Linked DNA regions of Anolis sagrei. The protein of the gene in region 2 purifies or fractionates together with the protein of the main gene of each other region. This does not show direct contact. Links are inferred from orthologs where the notes say so. Each region holds a gene or a part of one and is shown on either strand. Other genes may lie near its edges.

What was found.
Region 1: the proteins of CEBPB (region 2) and SMARCC1 purify together in Homo sapiens (affinity purification with western blotting; 3 studies listed by BioGRID, with this or other methods). This does not show direct contact. The link is inferred for Anolis sagrei from reciprocal best matches to the Homo sapiens genes CEBPB and SMARCC1.
Region 3: the proteins of CEBPB (region 2) and STAT3 purify together in Homo sapiens (affinity purification with western blotting; 3 studies listed by BioGRID, with this or other methods). This does not show direct contact. The link is inferred for Anolis sagrei from reciprocal best matches to the Homo sapiens genes CEBPB and STAT3.

The regions. Positions count from the first base shown.
Region 1 is NC_090026.1:130,812,437-130,819,472, reverse strand, and holds the start of SMARCC1 (SWI/SNF complex subunit SMARCC1), read right to left. Parts: upstream 3,095-7,036; 5' UTR 2,923-3,094; coding exon 2,539-2,922; intron 1-2,538. UniProt on the Homo sapiens protein: Involved in transcriptional activation and repression of select genes by chromatin remodeling (alteration of DNA-nucleosome topology).
Region 2 is NC_090024.1:222,094,129-222,101,580, reverse strand, and holds the start of CEBPB (CCAAT/enhancer-binding protein beta), read right to left. Parts: upstream 3,066-7,452; 5' UTR 2,818-3,065; coding exon 1,747-2,817; 3' UTR 1-1,746. UniProt on the Homo sapiens protein: Important transcription factor regulating the expression of genes involved in immune and inflammatory responses. Also plays a significant role in adipogenesis, as well as in the gluconeogenic pathway, liver regeneration, and hematopoiesis.
Region 3 is NC_090026.1:36,809,158-36,816,222, forward strand, and holds the start of STAT3 (signal transducer and activator of transcription 3), read right to left. Parts: upstream 3,095-7,065; 5' UTR 2,982-3,094; intron 1-2,981. UniProt on the Homo sapiens protein: Signal transducer and transcription activator that mediates cellular responses to interleukins, KITLG/SCF, LEP and other growth factors. Once activated, recruits coactivators, such as NCOA1 or MED1, to the promoter region of the target gene.

The sequences.
Region 1 (7,036 bases), on a different chromosome or scaffold from region 2:
CCACACACATATCAAGTGACTCTCAGCATAAGAGTGATACAAAGAGAGCCTTCCCCACACACAGATATCAAGTGACACTCTCTCAGCCTCAGAGGGACACAAAAGAATCAATTGGTTCAAGAAAAAACCATGCTCTAGGCTTGCCACAGAAGAGTAATGACCTGAAGGCACACACATATCAAGTGACACTCTCTCAGCCTAAGAGGGACAAAAAGGGATCCTTCCTCACACACACATATCAAATGACACTCTCTCAGCTTAAGAGGGACACAAAGGGAGCCTTCCCCAGGCATACATAGAATCATAGAATCCTAGAGTTGGAAGAGACCTCATGGGCCATCCAACCCCATTCTGCCAAGAGGCAGGAATATTGCATTCAAAGCACCCCTGGCAGATGGCCATCCAGCCTCTGTTTAAAATCCTCCAAAGAAGGAGCCTCCACCACACACTGCTGCACGGATCTCACAGTCAGGAAGTTCTTCCTCATGTTCAGATGGAATCTCCTTTCTTGTAGTTTGAAGCCATTCTTCCATTGCATCTTAGTCTCCTGGGAAGCAGAAAGGAAGCCTGCTCCCTCCTCCCTGTGACATGAAGTGGCACTCTCTCATCCTCAGAGGGACACAAAAGCAACCTTCGCCACACACATATATCAAGTGACACTCTCTCAGCCTCAAAGGGACAAAAAGGGAGCCTTCCTGACACACATATCAAGTGACACTCTCTCAGCCTCAGAGGGACACAATGGGAGCCTTCCTGACACACATATCAAGTGACACTCTCTCAGCCTAAGAGTGACACAAAAGACTCAATTGGTTCAAGAAAACCCTACTCTAGGCTTGCTAGAGAAATGACCTGAAGGCACACTCATATTAAGTGACACTCTCTCAGCCTCAGAGTGACACAATGGAAACTCCCCCCCCCCCACACACACACACATATCAAGTGACACTCTCTCATTCTAAGAGGGACACAAAAGTAGCCCTCCTCACACACACACACATCAAGTGACAGTCTCTCGGCCTCAGAGGAACACAAAGACAACCTTCCCCACACACACATATCAAGTGACACTCTCTCAGCTTAAGAGGGACACAAAGGGTGCCTTCCCCCTCACACACAAGTGACACTCTCTCAGCCTCAGTGGGACACCAAGGGAACCTTCATAACACATAGAAGTGGCACTCTCTCAGGCTTAGAGGGACACAAAAGGAGCCTTCCTCTCTCACACACACAGAATTGACACTCTCTCAGCCTAAGAGAGACACAAAAGATTCAACTGGTTCAAGAAAACCCTGCTCTAGGCTGGCCACAGAAGAGAAAGGATCTGAAGGCACACACACATCAATTGACAATCTCTCAACCTCAGAGGGACACTAAGGGGGCTTTCCTAACTCACACAAGTGACACTCTCTCAACCTCAGAGAGATACAAAGGAAGCCTTTCCCCACGTATAAGTGACACTCTCTCAGCTTCAGAGGGACAGAAAGGAAGCCTTCCCCCCTCTCTCTCTCACACACACATATATCAAGTGACACTCTCTCAGCCTCAGAGAGACACAAAGGAAGCCTTTCCCCACACATACAAGTGACACTCCCTCACCCTGAGGGAGACAGAAAAGAATATATAGTATGTTTAATAATAATACTATAGTATGTCTTATGTCTATATGACTTGTAAACCACTCTGAATCCCCTTCGCCAGGATATAAATGTCGAAAACAAACAAAGGAAGCCTTCCCCACATACACATACCAAGTGACACTCTCTCAGCCTCAAAGGGACACAAATGGAACCAAATTAATGAGTCAGAAATGACACTAAGGCACAGAATTAACGCTAGACCAGGCCTCAGGGGCTTTGGACTCCAATTCCCACAATTCCTCACTATAAATAGATGTATAGTGTCTAGCTCCTTCCTTGGAAGCTTTTAAACAGAGGCTGGATGGCCACCTGTCAGGGGTGCTTTGAATGCAATATTCCTGCTTTTTTGGCAGAATGGGGTTGGACTGGATGGCCCACGAGGTCTCTTCCAACTCTTTGAGTCTATGATTCTATGAATGTTTAAAAATAATATAGTATGCTTTATGTCCAATATGACTTGTAAGCCACTCTGAGTCCCCTTCGCCAGCATATAAATGTAAACAAACAAATAAAGGAAGCCTTCCCCTCCCACACACATATCAAGTGACACTCTCTCAGCCTCAGAGGGACACAAAGGGAACCAAATTAAGGAGTCAGAGATGTAAACAAAGAAATAAAGGAAGCCTACCCCACATACACATACCAAGTGACACTTTCTCAGCCTCAAAGGGACACAAAGGGAACCAAATTAATGACACTAAGGTACAGAAATAATGCTAGGCCACGCCTCAGGGGCTTTGGACTCCAACTCCCACCATTCCTCGCAGCCTCAGGCCCTTTCCTTTCCCCCCTCAGCCGCTTAAGCGTCTGAGGGGGAAAAGGAAGGGTCCTGAGGCTGTGAGGAATGTTGGGAGTTGGAGTCCAAAGGCCCAAGTTGGGGGACAAAGGAAGGCCTCACCTTCTTGCAGTGCTTCCCAAGCCAGAGTCGTGCGGCGTCGAGCTGGGCGGCGGTGTCGGAGCTCTCCCAGAACTTCCCCGCGGGGCCTCCGTCCTTGCGCCGCGACACGGCGGGAGGGCCCGAGGAGGAGGACGACGACGAGGAGGCTGAGGAGGCCGAGGAGAGGCCTGAGGCGGGCGGGCCCTCAGCGGGGCCTACTCCGCTCCCTCCTCCGCCTCCTCCTGCCGCTGAGCCTGGCTGGCCCGAGGGGGTGGGGTTGGTGTTGGCGGTGGCCGTGGTGTGGGCCGCCATGGTCCTTCCGGGCCTCCCGCGCGGCCTCCTGCGCCGCCGCCACCGCCGCCTCAGCCGGGGCCCTTCGCCTCCCTCTCTCCCGGCCCCGCGCATGCGCAGAGCCCGCGGGAAGGAGACGCCGCCGCGCCTGCCTCCCACGCCGCCGCCACCCTCTCTCTCTCTCTCTCTCGCTCAATCTCTCGCTCGCTCTCTCTCTCTCGCCCCGCGCGCACGCGCAGTCCGACCTCGCGCTCCCTCCCTCCCCTCAAGGCGCCGAGCGCTCGCGACGCGCCTCCGCCTTCCCCTCCCACGCCGGCTTTCCCCTACGCAACAGGGGCGCATGCGCAGACAGGGAGGAGAGTCTTTCTCTCCTGCGCATGCCTGCACAAGACCACCAAAGCTCTTTTCTTTGTAAGGCTTTCGCTTCGCTCGCGCATGCGTACACAACATGGACACTTTTTTTTCCTTCTGGGCCTCACTCACGCATGCGTATACAACATCAGCACAGCATTTTTTTTCTTTCTAGGCATCGCTCGCGCATGCGTACACAACATCGATACTTTTTCTTTCTTGCTAGGTCTCACTGACGCATGCGTACACAACATGGACACTTTTTTTCTTTCTGGGTCTCACTGGCGCATGCGTACACAAAATCAGCAGAGCATTTTTTTTCCTTTCTAGGCCTCGCTCACGCATGCGTACACAACATCGATACTTTTTTTCTTCTGGGCCTCACTGGCGCATGCGTATACAACATTATCAGCACATTTTTTTCTTTATGGGCCTCACTCGCGCATGCGTACACAACATCGATACTTTTTTTTCTTTCTGAGCCTCATTCGCGCATGCGTGCTCAACATCGCCAGACTTTATTGTGTTTTGGGTCTCAATCGCGCATGCGTACACAATATCTCCAGCACTTTTTTTTGTTCGCTGGGACTCGCTTGCGCATGCGTACTCAACACCACCAGATTATTTTTTGTTTTGGGCCTCACTCGCGCATGCGTACACGACATCGCCTGCACTTTTTTTCGTACTCTGAGCCTCGCTCGCGCATGCGTACTTAACATCGGGAGTTTTAGTGTGCTGGGCCTCGCTCGCGCATGCGTATCAACCCCTCCCCTCGCCTTTGTGTGGCTCTCTCTCCTCCATCCGCGCATGCGCGAGGGGAAGCCAAGCGGGGAAGGCCTGGTTGTGAGGGAGAGAGGGCCACCGAGAGGGTCGCTTTTGTGTCTTTCCCCGGAGAGGAGACGAGAGCAAGGCGGGCGCGGCGGAAGGAGTGGCCGCACAGGAAGTGACCCAGAGTGGACATTTCCGCTTGACCTGTCCAGGACACATTTGGCGGGAAAAAGGCAGGCCTGAAGGAGGAGGAGGAGGAGGACCAAAAAGGCAGAAGGAGGAGAAGACTCTCACAGGTGTCTCTATAGGGAGATTGAGATACATACATACATATATATACATACAAAATAAGAGACAACCTAGTCAAAGAACAATAGTGATATAATAGTGAACAATAGTGCATATAATAGTGATATAATAGTGAACAATAACGCAAATAGTAGTGATTTATTTATTTCGTGTCAGGGCAGCCAGTCCATTATATTACATTTCTAACAGAACAAAGCAAACAGACAAAATACAAAATTTGCGAGTTTGGTAGTTGATTTAATGTCTTTTGACCAGTCTCTGGCCCCTTGGAGTGCCTCTGGTGTTGCCTCAAGAAGGTCCTCCATTGTGCATGTGGCAGGGCTCAGGGTGCATTGCAGCAGGTGGTCAGTGGTTTGCTCCTCTCCACACTCGCATATCGAGGATTCCACTTTGTGGCCCCATTTCTGAAGGTTGGCTCTGCATCTTGTGGTGCCAGAGCGCAGTCTGTTCAGTGCCTTCCAGGTCGCCCAGTCCTCAGTGTGCCCAGGAAGGGGGAGTCTCTCATTTGGGATCAGCCATTGGTTGAGGTGCTGGGTTTGGGCCTGCCACTTTTGGACTTGGGAGGGATAGCCAATAGTCCAGAGGACAGGAGCAGAATTCAAAACGATCTTGACAGATTAGAGAGATGGGACAAAACTAACAAAATGAAGTTCAACAGTGACAAATGCAAGATACTCCACTTTGGCAGAAAAAATGAAATGCAAAGATACAGAATGGGTGATGCCTGGCTCGAGAGCAGTACGTGTGAAAAAGATCTTGGAATCCTCGTGGACAACAAGTTAAACATGAGCCAACAGTGTGATGTGGCGGCAAAAAAAGGCAATGGGATTTTGGCCTGCATCAAGAGGAGCATAGTGTCTAGATCTAGGGAAGTAATGCTCCCCATGCTCTATTCTGCTTTGGTTAGACCACACCTGGAATATTGTGTCCAATTCTGGGCACCACAATTCAAGAGAGATATTGACAAGCTGGAATGTGTCCAGAGGAGGGCGACTAAAATGATCAAGGGTCTGGAGAACAAGCCCTATGAGGAGCGGCTTAAGGAGCTGGGCATGTTTAGCCTGAAGAAGAGAAGGCTGAGAGGAGATATGATAGCCATGTATAAATATGTGAGAGGAAGCCACAGGGAGGAGGGAGCAAGCTTGTTTTCTGCTTCCATGGAGACTAGGACACAATGGAGCAAGGGCTTCAAACTACAAGAGAGGAGATTCCATCTGAACATGAGGAAGAACTTCCTGACTGTGAGAGCCGTTCAGCAGTGGAACTCTCTGCCCCGGAGTGTGGTGGAGGCTCCTTCTTTGGAAGCTTTTAAGCAGAGGCTGGATGGCCATCTGTCAGGTGTGATTTGAATGCAATATTCCTGCTTCTTGGCATAATGGGGTTGGACTGGATGGCCCATGAGGTCTCTTCCAACTCTTTGATTCTATGATTCTATGACTTTTGCTTGCTGGGGTGTTCCAGCGAGTGTCTCTGTAGATCTAAGAAAACTATGTCTAGATTTAAGTCGTCGACATGCTGGCTGATACCCAAACAAGGAATGAGCTGCCTTGGTCCTTTCACTATTGGCTGCTACTTCCCGGCAGATGTCAGGTGTTGCAAAACCACCTAAACAGTATAATTTCTCCAGTCGTGTGGGGCGCAGACACCACATGATAATGCGGCATGTCTCATTAAGAGCCACACCCACTGTTCTAGCGTGGTGAGATGTGTTCCACACTGGGCATGCGTACTCAGCAGCAGAGTAGCACAGCGCAAGGGCAGATGTCTTCACTGTGTCTGGTTGTGATCACCAGGTTGTGCCAGTCAGCTTTCGTATGATATTGTTTCACGAGATGCAGAGCCAGCCTTCGGAAATGGGGCCACAAAGTGGAATCCACGACATGCGAGTGTGGAGAAGAGCAAACCACTGACCACCTGCTGCAATGCAACCTGAGCCCTGCCACAGGCACAATGGAGGACCTTCTCACAGCAACACCAGAGGCACTCCAAGTGGCCAGATTATGGTCAAAGGACATTTAATAGAATACCAAGTTTACAAATTTTGTGTTTTGTTTTTAATGCAGTACAACTGTTGGGTTCGCTCCTGACACGATAAGAAAGAAATGCCCAATTGCATCCTTCTGAAAGGTTATTTGTGAAATAAGGGACACCCCTAAATGCTCATAAAACGCCTACCCAATATTAAACCAATAATTTTATATTGACATCCAATCATTATTGGATGTCTTTATATCATTTTCTTTCATATGTGTGTGTGTGTATCTGTCTCTCTGTGTGAGATGTTTTAACTGCTGTGGCCTTCCTCAAGTAGTGAGGAGTGGTGAGTGACAAATAAAATAATATCTGGCATGACGCAGCATGAGAAAGCCAGCCTAGCGCAATGGTTCTGAGCACTGGATTCCGGTTCCTGCTCAGCCTTGGGAATCTACTGGTTGCCTTTGGGTAAATCCCACTCTCTCAGACTTAAGGTGAGGAAGGAAATGACAAACCTCCTTGGGGTAAATCTTGCCAGAAAAACTAGGAGAGTGATGCCATAAGTGTGAATCAAAACTTTCCACATTCTGAGATGCATCCTTTTGCGACACCGTCGGTTTTACTAGCAAACTGGGGGTTAAACCAAACTCTTATAAGAGTTTCTTGCAATACACATGTATTATAATATATATGTGCATATGCTATAAAATATAAATTGTATATATAATGTATGTTTCATATCATCCAAATTTTGGACATTTCTCCTTTACACTTCTGTATTACCGGTGATTCCTGGAACTCCATAGCTGTTCCATGGGGTTTATCG
Region 2 (7,452 bases):
AAAAGGTTAAGAGACCACAAAAACTATGCAGTTCAAACTCCTTGCCATAAACCAAAGCACTCCTGATAGATGGCCATCCAAACCCTCCAGAGATGGAAACTCCACTGTCTTTACTTGCCTCAAGCTGTGAGGAGAGGCAGATAGCAAATAAAAGTTATTATTGCTATTGTTGTTATTATTATTATTATTAGTTCTACAGTGTGTAGATCAGGTATGGGCCAACTTGGGCCCTCCAGGTGTTTTGGACTTCAAGCCCCACAATTCCTAACAGCCTCTGGTCCTTTCCTTTTCCCCCTCAGCCGCTTAAGCAGCTGAGGGGGAAAAGGAAGGGGCCTGAGGCTGTTAGGAATTGTGGGAGGTGAAGTCCAAAACACCTGGCAGGCTCAAGTTGGCCTGATACATGCTCAACTCCCTAAGGTGCTAATCTCCTCTTTGGCAGACCTTGGGAAACTGCAGCTCCCAGGTTCTAGCAGCATCGAGCCATGGCAGTCAAAAGTGGTCTCCAACTGAACTGAACCACTGGGTTGTTGTGAGTTTTCCGGACTGAACGGTCATGTTCCAGAGGTCTCACCACCTCTGAGGATGCCTGCCATAGATGCAGGCGAAATGTCAGGAGAGAATGCTTCTGGAACATGGCCATACAGCCTGGGAAAGCAACCCAGCAACCCAGGGCCCTTCCACACAGCCTTATCTCCCATAATATCAAGGCAGAATAACCCACAATATCTGCTTTGAACTGGGTTATTTGAGTCCACACTTCCATATATCCAGTTCAAAGCAGATAGCGTGGGATCTTATTCAGCTGTGTGGAAGGGGCCCCAGTGATTCTGGCCACGAAAGCCTTTGACAACACATTGAACTGAATCAATTCCACAATGTACAAACTTCTCTTGGTGATAGTATGATAGCTGGGTCCGGAAGCTCTGAGCATTGTGCACATTCCGCAATGGCGGATGCGGATAAGGGAAGGGGAGAGCAGAACACTGACGCTGGGAATATACTTAGTAGTTGCATTTGGTGGAAGGACAGAAAGGAGGGGAGAGTTAGGATAAGGTTTCGGGTTAGGGTTTGGGGTAGGGTTAGGATTAGGGGTTAGGAGCTAGGCTTAGGGTAAGGTTTAGGGTTTGGGTTAGGATTAGGGTTTGGGCTAGGATTAGGGGTAAGGGTAAGGTTTTGCATAAGGGTTAGGGTTTTACCATTAAAGAACTCTTACATTCCTTCTATAATATCTGTGTTTGTTCTGCGTTGCGCAAACAGTGCTCCCAAAGGAGCAGAAACAGCGTAAGGCTCAGAGCTTCGGACCCAGCTATCATACTATCACCTTCTCTCTGCCATGCGCTTTGGACTTCAGCTCCCAGGACTAATGTGCGGGGAATTTGGGCGCTGAAGTCCAACATGCTGGGCCGGGAAGAGTTTGAGAAAGTAGTCTAAAGGAGGCCTCCTTGGAGAAGAAGGGAAGGCAGGAAGAAAGGCAACACAACAAATCCACAAACCCCAAACTTTTCCATAGAATCACAGAGTTGGAAGAGCCCTCATGGGCCACCCAGTCCAACCCCCTGCCAAGAAGCAGGAAAATGGCATTCAAAGCACCCCCGACAGATGGCCCTCCAGCCTCTGTTTCTGCATTCCACTCTGGAGGAGGAAGAGCCCTTTTGGCTTCTCTTTTTGGCATCCTTTGCCCCCCCCCCTCCTCTCCCCAATCCCTTTCCCAGCAGGGAGTCCAAAGGGAGGCCGAGTCTCCGCGGGCTAGCAGTGCCCGGCGTTGGCCAAGAGGGGCTCGGGGAGCTGCTTGAACAAGTTCCGGAGGGTGCCGAGCTCCCGGGAGAGCTGCTCGACCTTCTTCTGGAGCCGCTCGTTCTCGGCGGTGAGCTCGAGCACCTTGTGCTGCGTCTCCAGGTTGCGCATCTTGGCCTTGTCGCGGCTCTTGCGGACGGCGATGTTGTTGCGCTCGCGCCGGATCTTGTACTCCTCGCTGTGCTTGTCCAGGGACTTCTTGGACTTGCTCTTCCCGCCGCCGCCGTTGCTCCCTCCTCCCGAGGCCGCGTAGTGGTTGCCTCCGGACTTGGAGGAATCCGAAGGGTTGGGGGTCCCCGGCGGGCTGGAGGAAGAGGCGGTGGAAAGGTTCCCGCTGCTCCCGCTGGGCACCGACTGGTAGCCCAAGTAGGAGCGGACGGCGCTGCCGTAAGGCGAGGAGAGGCCCCCGAGGGCCGCCGCGCCTCCCCCGCCGGCGTCCTCCTTGCGCGGGCCGGCTTTGCACGAGTCCAAGTGCTCGAAGACGGGCTCCACTTTGGTCTCCACCATGTGAGGCGAGAAGCAGCCCAAGAGAGAGGCCTTCTGGCCCTGGTGGAGGTGCGGGTGGTGGCTATGCTTGGCCAGGCTGATGTAGGTGTAGTCGGGGTGCTGCTGCTGCTGCTGCTGGTGCTGCTGCTTCTTCCCGGCTTTGTAGTCCTGCTCGGAGAAAAGGTCGGAGAGGAAGTCCGGGTTGCTGCTGCTGCTGCTGTTGTGGTTGTTGCCGGAGGGAAGCGGCTCGAAGTTGCCCCCTGCCGTGGCCGCGGGTGGAGGAGGCGCGTGCTGGTGCGGGTGCTGCGAGGCCAGCGGGTCCAGGTAAGGGCTGAAGTCGATGGCCCGCTCGTGCTCGCCCAGGCTCAGCTCGGACATGGGCCGCGGGGCCCCCACGGGCCCTCCCCGCGCGTGCAGCTTGCTCACGGCCGCCGGCAGACAGTCCGTCTCGTAGTAGAGGTTGGCCACTTCCATGGATTTAAAGGCCGAGGGCGGGAGAGGGAGGCATGCCTGGTCCCAGGCCACCAGGCGTTTCATGAAAGCTCCCAAAGCCCCGAGTCCACGCAGGGAGGGAGCGAGGGAGGGAAGGGGAGCCGCCTCTCTCTAAACCCTCTCTTTCGTCCTTCCCTCTCCCTTGCTCTTTCCTTTCCTCCCAAGGTTTCACGCTGCCTCCTTCCCTTTCTCTTCCTCCTCTTCCTTCTCCTCTTTGCTCTCCTCCTCTCTGGACTTTGTTGGGAAAGTGCCTTGGCGCGCGGGTCTTTATAGGGGCGGCGCGTCCCATGGCAACCGCCACACGTCACGGGCCCGCACGCGCCGCCCGCCTCCCTCCTGCTTTCCTCAAGCCTTCCCTCCTTCCTTTCCTTGCAGAAGGAGGGACGCCCAAGGAGCCCGGCGCGCCTCTACTGCGCCTGCGCAGAGGGCTGGCCCAAGGGGGAGGCTCCCCAGCTCTTGGCGACGCCTCCCGTCCCGGGACACCGCCTCCGAGGTCTCTGAACCCGCACGGGCTCAACTCTCCGCGGATTGCCACTTATAGGATCGTATAATAGTGTCCATTATCTACAAATGCAAAAAATCAAGACTCAAGGTTGGGAATGTCTGTATATGTGTATCACATTCACTTATTCCAAAAATCAAGGTGTGTGTGTGTGTATATATATATATATATCTATATATATCTATATATATCCATTCTGTATAGGATAGTATAATAGTGTCCATTATCTACAAATGCAAAAAATCAAGACTCAAGGTTTGGTATGTGTGTGTGTGTATCACATTCACTTATTCCAAAAATCAAGGGGTGTGTGTGTGTATGTGCCAGCATGTGTGTGTGTATACACACATACAAATTCCCACCTTGATTTTTGGAATAATTGAATATGCGTTATATGTATACACACCCACTCAGTTTGGGAATGTCTGTATATGTGTATCACATTCACTTATTCCAAAAATCAAGGTGTGTGTGTGTGTGCCAGCATGTGTGTGTGTATGTGTGTGTGTGTATCCATTCTGTATAGGATAGTATAATAGTGTCTATTATCTACAAATGCAAAAAATCAAGACTCAATGTTTGGTATGTGTGTGTATATCACATTCACTTATTCCAAAAATCAAGGTGTGTATGTGTGTGTGCCAGCATGTGTGTGTGTGTGTGTGTGTGTATACACGGATACAAATTCCCACCTTGATTTTTGGAATAATTGAATATGCGTTATTCAACACACCCACTCCTTGATTTTTTGGACTAATTGAATATGCACGTTTATATATAGATAGGTAGATAGATAGGTAAAGGTGAAGGTTTTCTCCTGACCTTAAGTCCAGTCGTGTCTGACTCTGGGGGGTGGTGCTCATCTCCATTTCTAAGCTGAAGAGCCAGCATTGTCCATAGACACCTCCAAGGTCATATGGCCGGCATGACTGCATGGAGCGGTACCTATTGATCTACTCATATGTGCATGTTTTCAAACTGCTAGGTTGGCAGAAGCTGGGATTAACAGCAGGAGCTCACCACACTCCCCGGATTCAAACCTGCGACCACTGTCATTACTTGCAACTCTCCTCAGCTTGCCACTATTCCATTCTGTATAGGATAGTATAATAGTGTCCATTATCTACAAATGCAAAAAATCAAGACTCAAGGTTGGGTATGTGTGTGTGTATCACATTCACTTCTTCCAAAAATCATGCTGTGTGTGTATGTACACGCATACAAGTTCCCACCTTGAGTTTTTGGAATAATTGAATATGCATGTTTTATATGTATGTATGTATGTATGTATGTACATATCAGATAGATAGATAGATAGATAGATAGATAGATAGATAGATAGATAGAGTCGTATCTGACTCTGGGGGGTGGTGCTCATTTCCATTTCTAAGCCAAAGAACTGGCGTTGTCTGTAGATACCTCTACAGTCATGTGGCCGGCATGACCGCATGGAGTGGTACCTATTGCTCTACTCACACTTCCAAGTTTTCGAACTGTTAGGTTGGCAGAAGATGGGGCTAACAGTGGGAGCTCACCCCGCTCCCCAGATTCAAACCTGCAACCTTTCATGTTTATACATATTCAAATATTCCAAAAATCAAAGTGGGAATGTGTGTGTGTGTGTGTGTGTACATATATTTCAATTCAATTATTCCAAAAATCAAGGTGGAAATATGGGTGTATGATTCCAAAATTCAAGGTTGCAATGTTTAATTTTTTGTGTTCGATTTTAGCCTGTTCTTGTAAGCCGCTCCGAGCCCCAGGGGAGTGGCGGCATATAAGTTCAAATAATAAATAAATAAATATATTATTTTATTCCAACCTTTGTCTTTGCATTTGTCTATCATTTAGACATTATTTTGCTACCTTATCTGCCCCGCCCCCAAATATCCACAGGTTCTGCATCCATAGATCTGACCAAAAATGTATATCCAAGCTTGGTTTTTGCATTTTAATGGACACCAATATCATTGCATAGGGTGGGCCACATCATGTAATGCATTTTTCATATGTGAATGATAGGGGTCCCCTGATGGTGCAGCAGGTTAAACCGCTGAGCTGCTGAACTTGCTGACTGAAAGGTTGGTGGTTTGAATCTGAGGAGCAGGGTGAGCTCCTGCTTCTGCCAACCTAGCAGTTAAAAAAAACATGCAAATGTGAATATATCAATAGGTACTTCTTCTGCGGGAAGGTAACGGCGCTCCATGCAATCATGCCGACCAAAGACAACGCCAGCTCTTTGGCTTAGAAATGGAAATGGAGCACCATCCCCCAGAGTCGGACATGACTAGACTTAATGTCAGGGGAAACCTTTGCCTTTTCTATGGTGTTATTAAATATGTAACCCTCTTTATGACTTTTGGCTACCCTGTTTATAATGTGAGTTGTATATAATAGGAACCAAATCCCAGTAGATACCGAGGGCCACTGAAATAAAAACAAGATGTGGTTTGATGGCAGAGCGTGGGGGGAGGTCATTTCCTCAAGCATAAGATCCAAGGAGGAAAACGTTGCAACTTCTCTGCCTGAGAGTCTGTTTTCTTTGATGTGGGAGAGATCTTTGCAAGTGACTTTGGACAGACAGATCCATTTGGAGCACAGATTGGAAAAGGCACCATCAATTTGGCATCGTTCTACTTTTTAAGAAAGAAAGGATAAAATAAGAATTGTCTTTAGTATTGTTCATGTGGCAGAGTTGTCCTACCAAGCTCAATGGGAATTTATTTATGTGTCCTAATAGGAAGTGATGGGCAATGGAATATGCTGCCTTCTCAGAGAGTGGTGGAGTTTCATTCTCTGCAGGTTTTTAAGCAGAGGCTGAATGGCGATCTGTCAGGGGTGCTTTCATTATATGTTCCTTCGTGACAGAATGGGTTGGACTGGATGGCCTTTGTGGCCTCTTTCAACTCTATGACTTCATGAAATACACCTAAGACCACTGTGCCAGTGGGTCGCAATATGTTGAGGCCTCCGCAAAGTTACTTTCTAGAGAAGGTCTAGTGGTAGCTGTAGCTCAAAGAGGAACTTGGCCAATCTCTGGTGAAGAGGAAGTCCCATTGGAAACTGGCACACCCAGCATTCTATTCCTGGAGAGTGGAGATGTCAGGAATTTGGAAGAAGGGGAGAAATGCAATACCTGGCATGCACTCTCTGCCCTTCTTGCTAGATACTGTTCTGAGTGGGAGCCGTGGTTGCGCAATGGGTTAAACCCTTGTGCCAACTGACTTGAAGATCTGAAGGTTGGCAGTTCGAATCTGCAAGTTGGAGTGAGCTCCTGTCTGTCAGCCCCAGCTTCACATGCAGGGACAAGAGAAAAGCCTCCCATAGGATGGTGACACAGCCGGGCCTTCCCAGGGCAACATCCTTGCAGACGGCCAGTTCTCTTACACCAGAAGCGACTTGCAGTATATTCTCAATTCACTTCTGACACAATTAAAAAAAACTGTTCTGAGTCCACAAGTAAATGGATCCAGTTCACCAAATTTGTCGTAGTTTCCTTTATGTGTTTCAGGCCGCAGTTCAAAACATGCTTGCTTGCAGTCTTCCACCAACCTTATTGCTATTGTTTTGTACCTTCAAATAATTTTCGACTTCTACTGTTTTTTCTTGGAAAGACTTGTCCAGAGAGGGTTTTCCTTTTCCTTCCTCCAAGATTGAGAGAGTGTGAGTTGCCCAAGAACCTTACTGAGTTTCTAGGTAAAGCAAAGGTTCAAACCCTAGTCTTAAGCACAACACCCCAAACTACTACATCAGCTCCCATTACGCCAGATAAACATAGTCATGGCAAATGGGAACGATGGAGTTGTTAGTCCAACAGGACACCAAACTGGGAAGGAACTAAGATCCATCAAATGTAATTGAACTCATTTTGGAATAAGCGTGTAGAGTGTGCTTTCAAGAAGGATGAATTGAAACGCTCCAATAATGAGAGGTCTAGTAACAAACAGGGAAGGGTCCAAGAGTCAAAATTAAAATATTTGGTTTTTAACTGACCAGGGAAAACAGAAGCCCTTTCCACTTCAGAACTCTTCATTTATTTATGGTTTCTTATTCAGTTGTAGATACCCACCATAAAGGAAAAGGAAGATGATTTGGGTAAAGAAGCCATATTAGCACCTGAATTCAAAACAAAATATAATAAAATATTTTTCTTAAAAGTGAGACTTTGGAATTGATTA
Region 3 (7,065 bases), on a different chromosome or scaffold from region 2:
TTGCTTTCAATGTTTCCCTAACAGGAAGCTAAGCATCCAAATTCCAAAATACTCCCAAACCCAAAATTGTCCACATGGATGGCCGAGAGAGTGATACCTTTGCATTCTGACGGTTCAATGCACATAAACTTTATTTCATGGGAAAAATATTGAAAATACTGTATACATTTACTTTCAGAGTGGGTGTGTAAAGTATAAAGGTTAAGATTTCCCCTTGACATTAAGTCTAGTCGTGCCTGACTCTGGGGGGATGGTGCTCATCTCCATTACTAAGCCGAAGAGCCAGCATTGTCCACAGACGCCTCATTGGTTATGTGGCCAGCTTGACTGCATGGAGCACCATTCCCTTCATATTGAGGTGGTACCTATTGATCTACTCACATTTGCATGTTTTCAAATTGCTAGGTTGGCAGAAACTGGGGCTAACAACAGGAGCTCATCCTGTCTGCAGATTTGAACTGCCGACCTTCCAGTCAGGAAGTTCAGCAGCTCAACGGTTTAATGTGTTGCACCACCGTGGCCCCCAGAAGTGCAGAAGAAAAAAGAAACGGAAACTATAATGTCACTGCCCTCATTGACTATGCCCTGGCATTCCATGTTTTCAAACTGCTAGGTTGGCAGGAGCTACAGCTAACAACGAAAGCTCACCCTGGATGCGGATTCAAACCGCCAACCTTCTGATCAGCAAGTTCTGCAGCTTAGCGGTTTAACCCGCTGTGCCACTGCAGCCCCTTAAAGTATATATGAAGTACATATGAAACAAAAAAAACATTTCAGGTTCAGATGTGGGTTCAATGGCCAACTGTATGTCAACATTGTAGAACGAATGCAGTTTAACATCACTTTCCCCGCCATGACTCAATACTATGGAATCATGGGAGTTGTAGGATGCCATCACTCTTTGGCGGAGACAGCTGGTTAAACTGTATAGCATTTTTAGGCATGTTAATAGGTTTTAACTGTTGATCTAAGTAGTTGTGATGTTTAATCGTATTTTAGTGTTTAGTGGGTTAAACCACTGAGCTGCTGAACTTGCTGACCAAAAGGTCACAAGTTCAAATCTGGGGAGCAGCATGAGCTACCAATGTTAGCCCCAGCTTCTGTCAACCTAGCAGTTTGAAAACATGCAAATGTGAGCAGATCAGTAGGTACCACTTCGGCAGGAAGATGACGGTGCTCCATGCAGTCATGCAGGCCACATGACCTTGAAGGTGTCTATGGACAACGCTGACTCTTCGGCTTAGAAATGGAGATGGGCACCACCCTCCAGAGTTGGACACAACTGGACTTAATATCAGGGGAAAACCTTTACCTTTACCTGTGTTTTTAGCCGCTTTGAGTCACCTTGGGGAGAGAATCAGCAAGGTATAAATAATAATAATAATAATAATAATATCTGATGTGTGATCCAATGCAAAACCCAGCATTGCTGTGTACTAATCGTGTTGAGTACAAAATAATAATAATAATAATAACTGTATATTGTGTTGTTTTACCAGGCATGGGCAAACTTTGGCCCTCCAGATGTTTTGGACTTCAATTCCCACAATTCCTAACAGCCGGTAGGCTGTTAGGAATTGTGGGAGTTGAAGTCCAAAACATCTGGAGGGCCGAAGTTTGCTCATGCCTGTGTTAGCGCTTTGGGTCTCTTTTCAGGCTTTAAATAAATAACCATAATATATAATAACTATAATATATAATATAATGTGTTATATTGTTTTGTATTTTATTCTCATTATATTTTACTGTATGTATTTATGTTGTATATTTGCTGTACCCTTGGGCTTGGCCTCATGTAAGCCACCCCGAGTCTCCTTGGGGATATGGTGGCGGGGTATAAATAAAGTTTTATTATTATTAGTAGTAGTAGTATTTCATGGCCTGGAATCACTGGGTTGTTGGGAGTTTTCCAGACTGTCTGGCCACATTCCAGAAGCACTCTCTCCTGACGTTTCGCCTGCATCTATGGCAGGCATCCTGAGGATATAAAACCCACTTTCTTAGTTTCGAACAAGCCTCACAACCTCTGAGAATGCTTGCCATAGATGCAGGTGAAACATCAGGAGAGAATGCTTCTGGAACATGGCCAGACAGTTTGGAAAACTCCCAGCAACCAATAATAATAATAATAATAATAATAATGACGACAACAACAGCTCTCGTGATTCTATAGAAGGCATAATAAGCATAATAACAACAACAATAATGTCTGATATGTGATCAAATAGACAAGCCAACATAGTGATCTTGTTTTCTGTGTACTAATATTATTGTGTATCAGATAATAATAATAATGATAACTGTATATTGTATTGTTTTACCAGGCATGGGCAAACTTGGGCCCTCCAGGTGTTTTGGACTCCGGTAGGCTGTTAGGAATTCTGGGAGTTGGGAGTCCAAAACACCCGGAGAGCCCAAGTTTGCCCATGCCTGTTCTATAGCATTCTAATAATAGTAATAATAATAATGGGATCTTGTTTGCTGTGTACTAATCTTGTTGTGTATCAGATAATAATAGTAATAATAATAATAACAACAACAACAACTGCATACTGTATTGTTTTACCAGGCATGGGCAAACTTGGGCTCTCCAGGTGTTTTGGACTCCAACTCCCGGCTGTTAGGAATTCTGGGAGTTGGAGTCCAAAACACCTGGAGGGCCCAAGTTTGCACATGCCTGTTCTATAGCATAATAATAATAATAATATCAAGTGATGTCAAACTGCATTCCTTCTACAGTGCAGATCAGGCATGCCATAGTTAAGTTTGGTAGTACTTAGGAAACTCCAAATCCCACCCTCCCTCAGCAAACCCACCTCCTCCCTCCCGCAACGTGTTTCCTTCCTGTGTTCCCGTTCCCAGCCCTCAAACTGACGGGAAAGTCCCTCCAAGCTTTCCTGGAAGCCATGCCCCTCGTTGCAGAGGAGCAGCAATCTCAGAGGTTTGCACTCTGCACATGCTTTGCCTCCTCTCCAGCCTACCTTTCCAATCCCCTCCGCCGGGACCGAACTTCCCTTCCGCTGGCTCTCCTTCCCCAGCGCCGCCTGGCTCACTCTCCAAGCCCTGCCCCAGCTGCTGGCTCCCGGGGAGTCCCGCCCCCTCGGCGGCGACACTGATCGAAGCCGGCCAATCGCCGCCGCGCTCTGAGGGTTCTTCGGCAGGGGGCGCTCTCCGGCGGCCAATCAGCGCGCGCCTCCGCTTTCACTCTTCACCGGGCTGTTCCGGGCTCGGCTTCCTCCTCCCGCTGCTCTTCTGGAAAGCCAGCTGAGTTCCGGGCAGTGTGTGACGTCGGCAGCGCTGCTGTTGTCTTCGCCCCGGAGGGCGGGGGCGTGTGTGTCTGACTGTTTGGAATCCTTAGGCTGCTCCTGATTGGCTGAGAGGAACACATAGGGATGAGTGGGCTAGGCAGTGGGAGAAGGGCTTTCATGTGCACCTAGGTAGCCATCCCATCCCCTTGTGGAGCCTAATAATAATAATAATAATAATAATAATAATAATACAATACTATATAATCTATATAAACTCAAAAACCACTGGGGGAATTGACACCAAATTTGGACACAAGACACCTAACAACCCAATGTATGTCCTCCACTCAAAAAAAATGATTTTGTCATTTGAGAGTTGTAGTTGCTGGGATTTATAGTTTACCTGCAATCAAAGAGCATTCTGAACTCCACCAATGATGGAATTGGGCCAAACTTAGCACACAGGGCTCCCATGACCAACAGAAAAAACTGGAAGGGTTTGGTGGACATTGACCTTGAGTTTGGGAGTTGTAGTTCACCTACATCCAGAGAGCACTGTGGACTCAAACAATGATGGATCTGGACCAAACTTGGCACGAATTCTCGATATGCCCAAATATGAACACAGATGGAGTTCGGGGGAAATAGACCTTGACATTTGGGATTTGTAGTTACTGGAATTTATAGTTGAACCAAACATGGCATACAGGACTTCCATGACCAACAGAACACACTGGAAGGGTTTGGTGGGCATTGACCTTGATGGAGTTTAAGGGAAATAGACCTTGACATTTGGGAGTTGTAGTTGCTGGGATTTATAGTTCACCTGCAATCAAAGAGCATTCTGAACTCCACCAATGGTGGAATTGAACCAAACATGGCATACAGGACTTCCATGACTTCCATGACCAACAGAACACACTGGAAGAGTTTGGTGGGTATTATTATTATTATTGTTATTATTATTATTACTACTATTATTTTACTGACACAAAAATACAGTATGTCACAGCAAATGATGTATTTCCGAATGATGCACACAGATCCAAGTAAGGTGGCCTCTGGTGTTGCCGCAAGGAGGTCCTCCATTGTGCATATGGCAGGGCTCAGGGTGCATTGCAGCAGGTGGTCTGTGGTTTGCTCTTGTCCACACTCGCATGTCATGGATTCCACTTTGTAGCCCCATTTCTTAAGATTGCCAGAGCGCAGTCTGTTCAGCACCTTCCAAGTTGCCCAGTCTTCTGTGTGTCCAGGGGGGAGTCTCTAATTTGGTATCAGCCAGTGGTTAAGGTTCTGGGTTTGAGCCTGTGACTTTTGGACTTTCACTTGCTGAGGTGTTCCAGCGAATGTCTCTGTAGATCTTAGAATATTTCTTGATTTAAGTCATTGACGTCCTGGCTATACCCAAAGAAGGGATGAGCTGGAGATGTCACTGCCTTGGTCCTTTCACTATTGGCTGCTACTTCCCGGCGGATATCAGGTGGTGCAATACCAGCTAAGCAGTGTAATTTCTCCAGTGGTGTAGGGCGCAGACACTCCGTGATAATGCGGCATGTCTCATTAAGAGTCACATCTACTGTTTTAGTGTGGTGAGAAGTGTTCCACACTGGGCATGCGTACTCAGCAGCAGAGTAGCATAGCACAAAAGCAGATGTCTTCACTGTGTCTGGTTGTGATCCCCAGGTTGTGCCAGTCAGCTTTCGTATGATATTGTTTCTAGCGCCCACTTTTGGTTGATATTCAGGCAGTGCTTCTTGTAGGTCAGAGCACGGTCCAGGGTGACTCCCAGGTATTTGGATGTGCTGCAGTGCTCCAGTGGGATTCCTTCCCAGGTAATCCTCAAGCCCCCCCCCCCCCCGGGCCGGCTACATGCCTGTTCTGGGCCTTTGGCCCTTGCTGAATAGGGTTTTCTCAGAATTGTCTCCTAACTTAATCTTCCAAGATCTACCCAAATTCTCTGTACTGTGACCCAAGACAGAGAGAATACAAGAGAAAGGAGGAAGTTGTCACTTTAGTCTCCTCAGGGCAGAGGTGAGTGAGAGATGGCTTGCAAGATTAGGTGGTAGTTTCTTGCTCTCCTTGCTCTGAAAGACTTCCCATTTTATTTCCTTCTCAGCTGGAGGGAACTGAGTTTGCTGCTTGGCCCAATCCCTGTTGCCATGTCACCCAGAAGAAATGTCACTGCATAAAAGAGAAGTTGCCCTTGGCACAAAGAACTGCCTTTGCCATTTCACTGCCCCTCCAATGGCAAGGATAGGATGGATCACAGAGCTGAAATCAAGATGTCCCACAGCAGCAATTCCCAAACTTTTTTTTGGTCATGGAACCATTCAGAAAATGTTTTCCCCCACAGAACCCTGATTTTCCTGCAGAACCATAACTCTGTGCCTAAGCACTGTGAACCCACAAAGTGCTTCTTTGTTTCATCTACTCCTGTTATCTGGTTGTTTTGTATATTGTAGGTTTGAAAACTAAGAGATCCAAATTTCACTTTTACAGCAGAGGTATATTGAATTGAAATAAGATCTTCGTATTCTGGCAAAGATTTTTAAATATATTTTTTAAAGATTTGAAATATTTTTGGATATGGCTCCGGCCCAGCTTACTTATCCAAACGTATCTCTCTCTACGTTCCGCCTTGTAGTTTAAGATCGTCAGGGGAGGCCCTGCTCTCGGTCTTACCAGCTTTGCAAACGCATTTGGTAGGGACGAGGGACAGGGCCTTCTCGGTGATGACCCCCTGCCTGTGGAATTCGTTCCCCAGTGAGATCAGGTCGGCTTCATCCCTCCTTTCCTTTAGGAAGAAATTAAAATCATGGTTTTGGAACCAGGCTTTTGGCCAGCAGGCGTGACAGCACCTTGGATGTCGAACTGGACTACATGGTTGTGATAATGATATAAATGGCTATATGATTATGATAATAATGTTTTAACTGTTTTAAATTATATTGTTTTATTTATTGTTTATATTGCTGTTATAGTTGTCATATTGTTGCAGTATCAAACTGTTGCCAGTGTAAGCTGCTCTGGGTAGAAATGTAAATAATAATAATAATAATAATAATAATGCTTTGTTGGAACCCTAAGACTCCATGGAACATAGTTTGGGAACTGCTGCCCTAAAGTATTCCAATTTTAAGGGGTCCCATTGTAGCAAAGGGCCCCTTGTGGCGCAACAGGTTAAACCACTGAGCTGCTGAACTTGCTGACTGAAAGGTTGGTAGTTCGGATCGGGGGAGTGAGGTGAGTTCCCGCTTTGAGGTCCAGCTTCTGCCAACCTTGGAGGTCGAAAACATGCAATTGTGAGTAGATCAATAGATACCATATAGTCATGCTGGCCACATGACCTTGGAGGTGTCTACAGACAACACCAGCTCTTTGGCTTAGAAATGGAGATGAGCATCACCCCCCAGAGTCGGATATGACTAGACTTAATGTCAGGGGAAGCCTTTACCTTTACCTTGTAGCGTTACCCAAACTTGTAGCTTAGGGTTGTTTGATATTAATTTAATATCTGTAAGTCATTTAAGTTGTGAGTAAACCCAAGGCAAGCAGGTCAAAGTATCTGTCCTATACAGATTCTGGGAACTGCCTTATGTCAACTCAGCAATAGTATTTCTATCCAGGTATGGTGGCTCTCCAAGGTTTCATGCCAAGGGCTTTTCCAAACTGATGTGCACATGGTTAAGACAGAATGTGTGACCTCAACCACAATATTAACTACAGCCCTTCCCATTTTGCTGGCTTAGTCTCTCACAACATCCCAACCCCATTAAGCAGAGAAAGAGAATGAATGGGATTTCCAGTTCATTTGCTC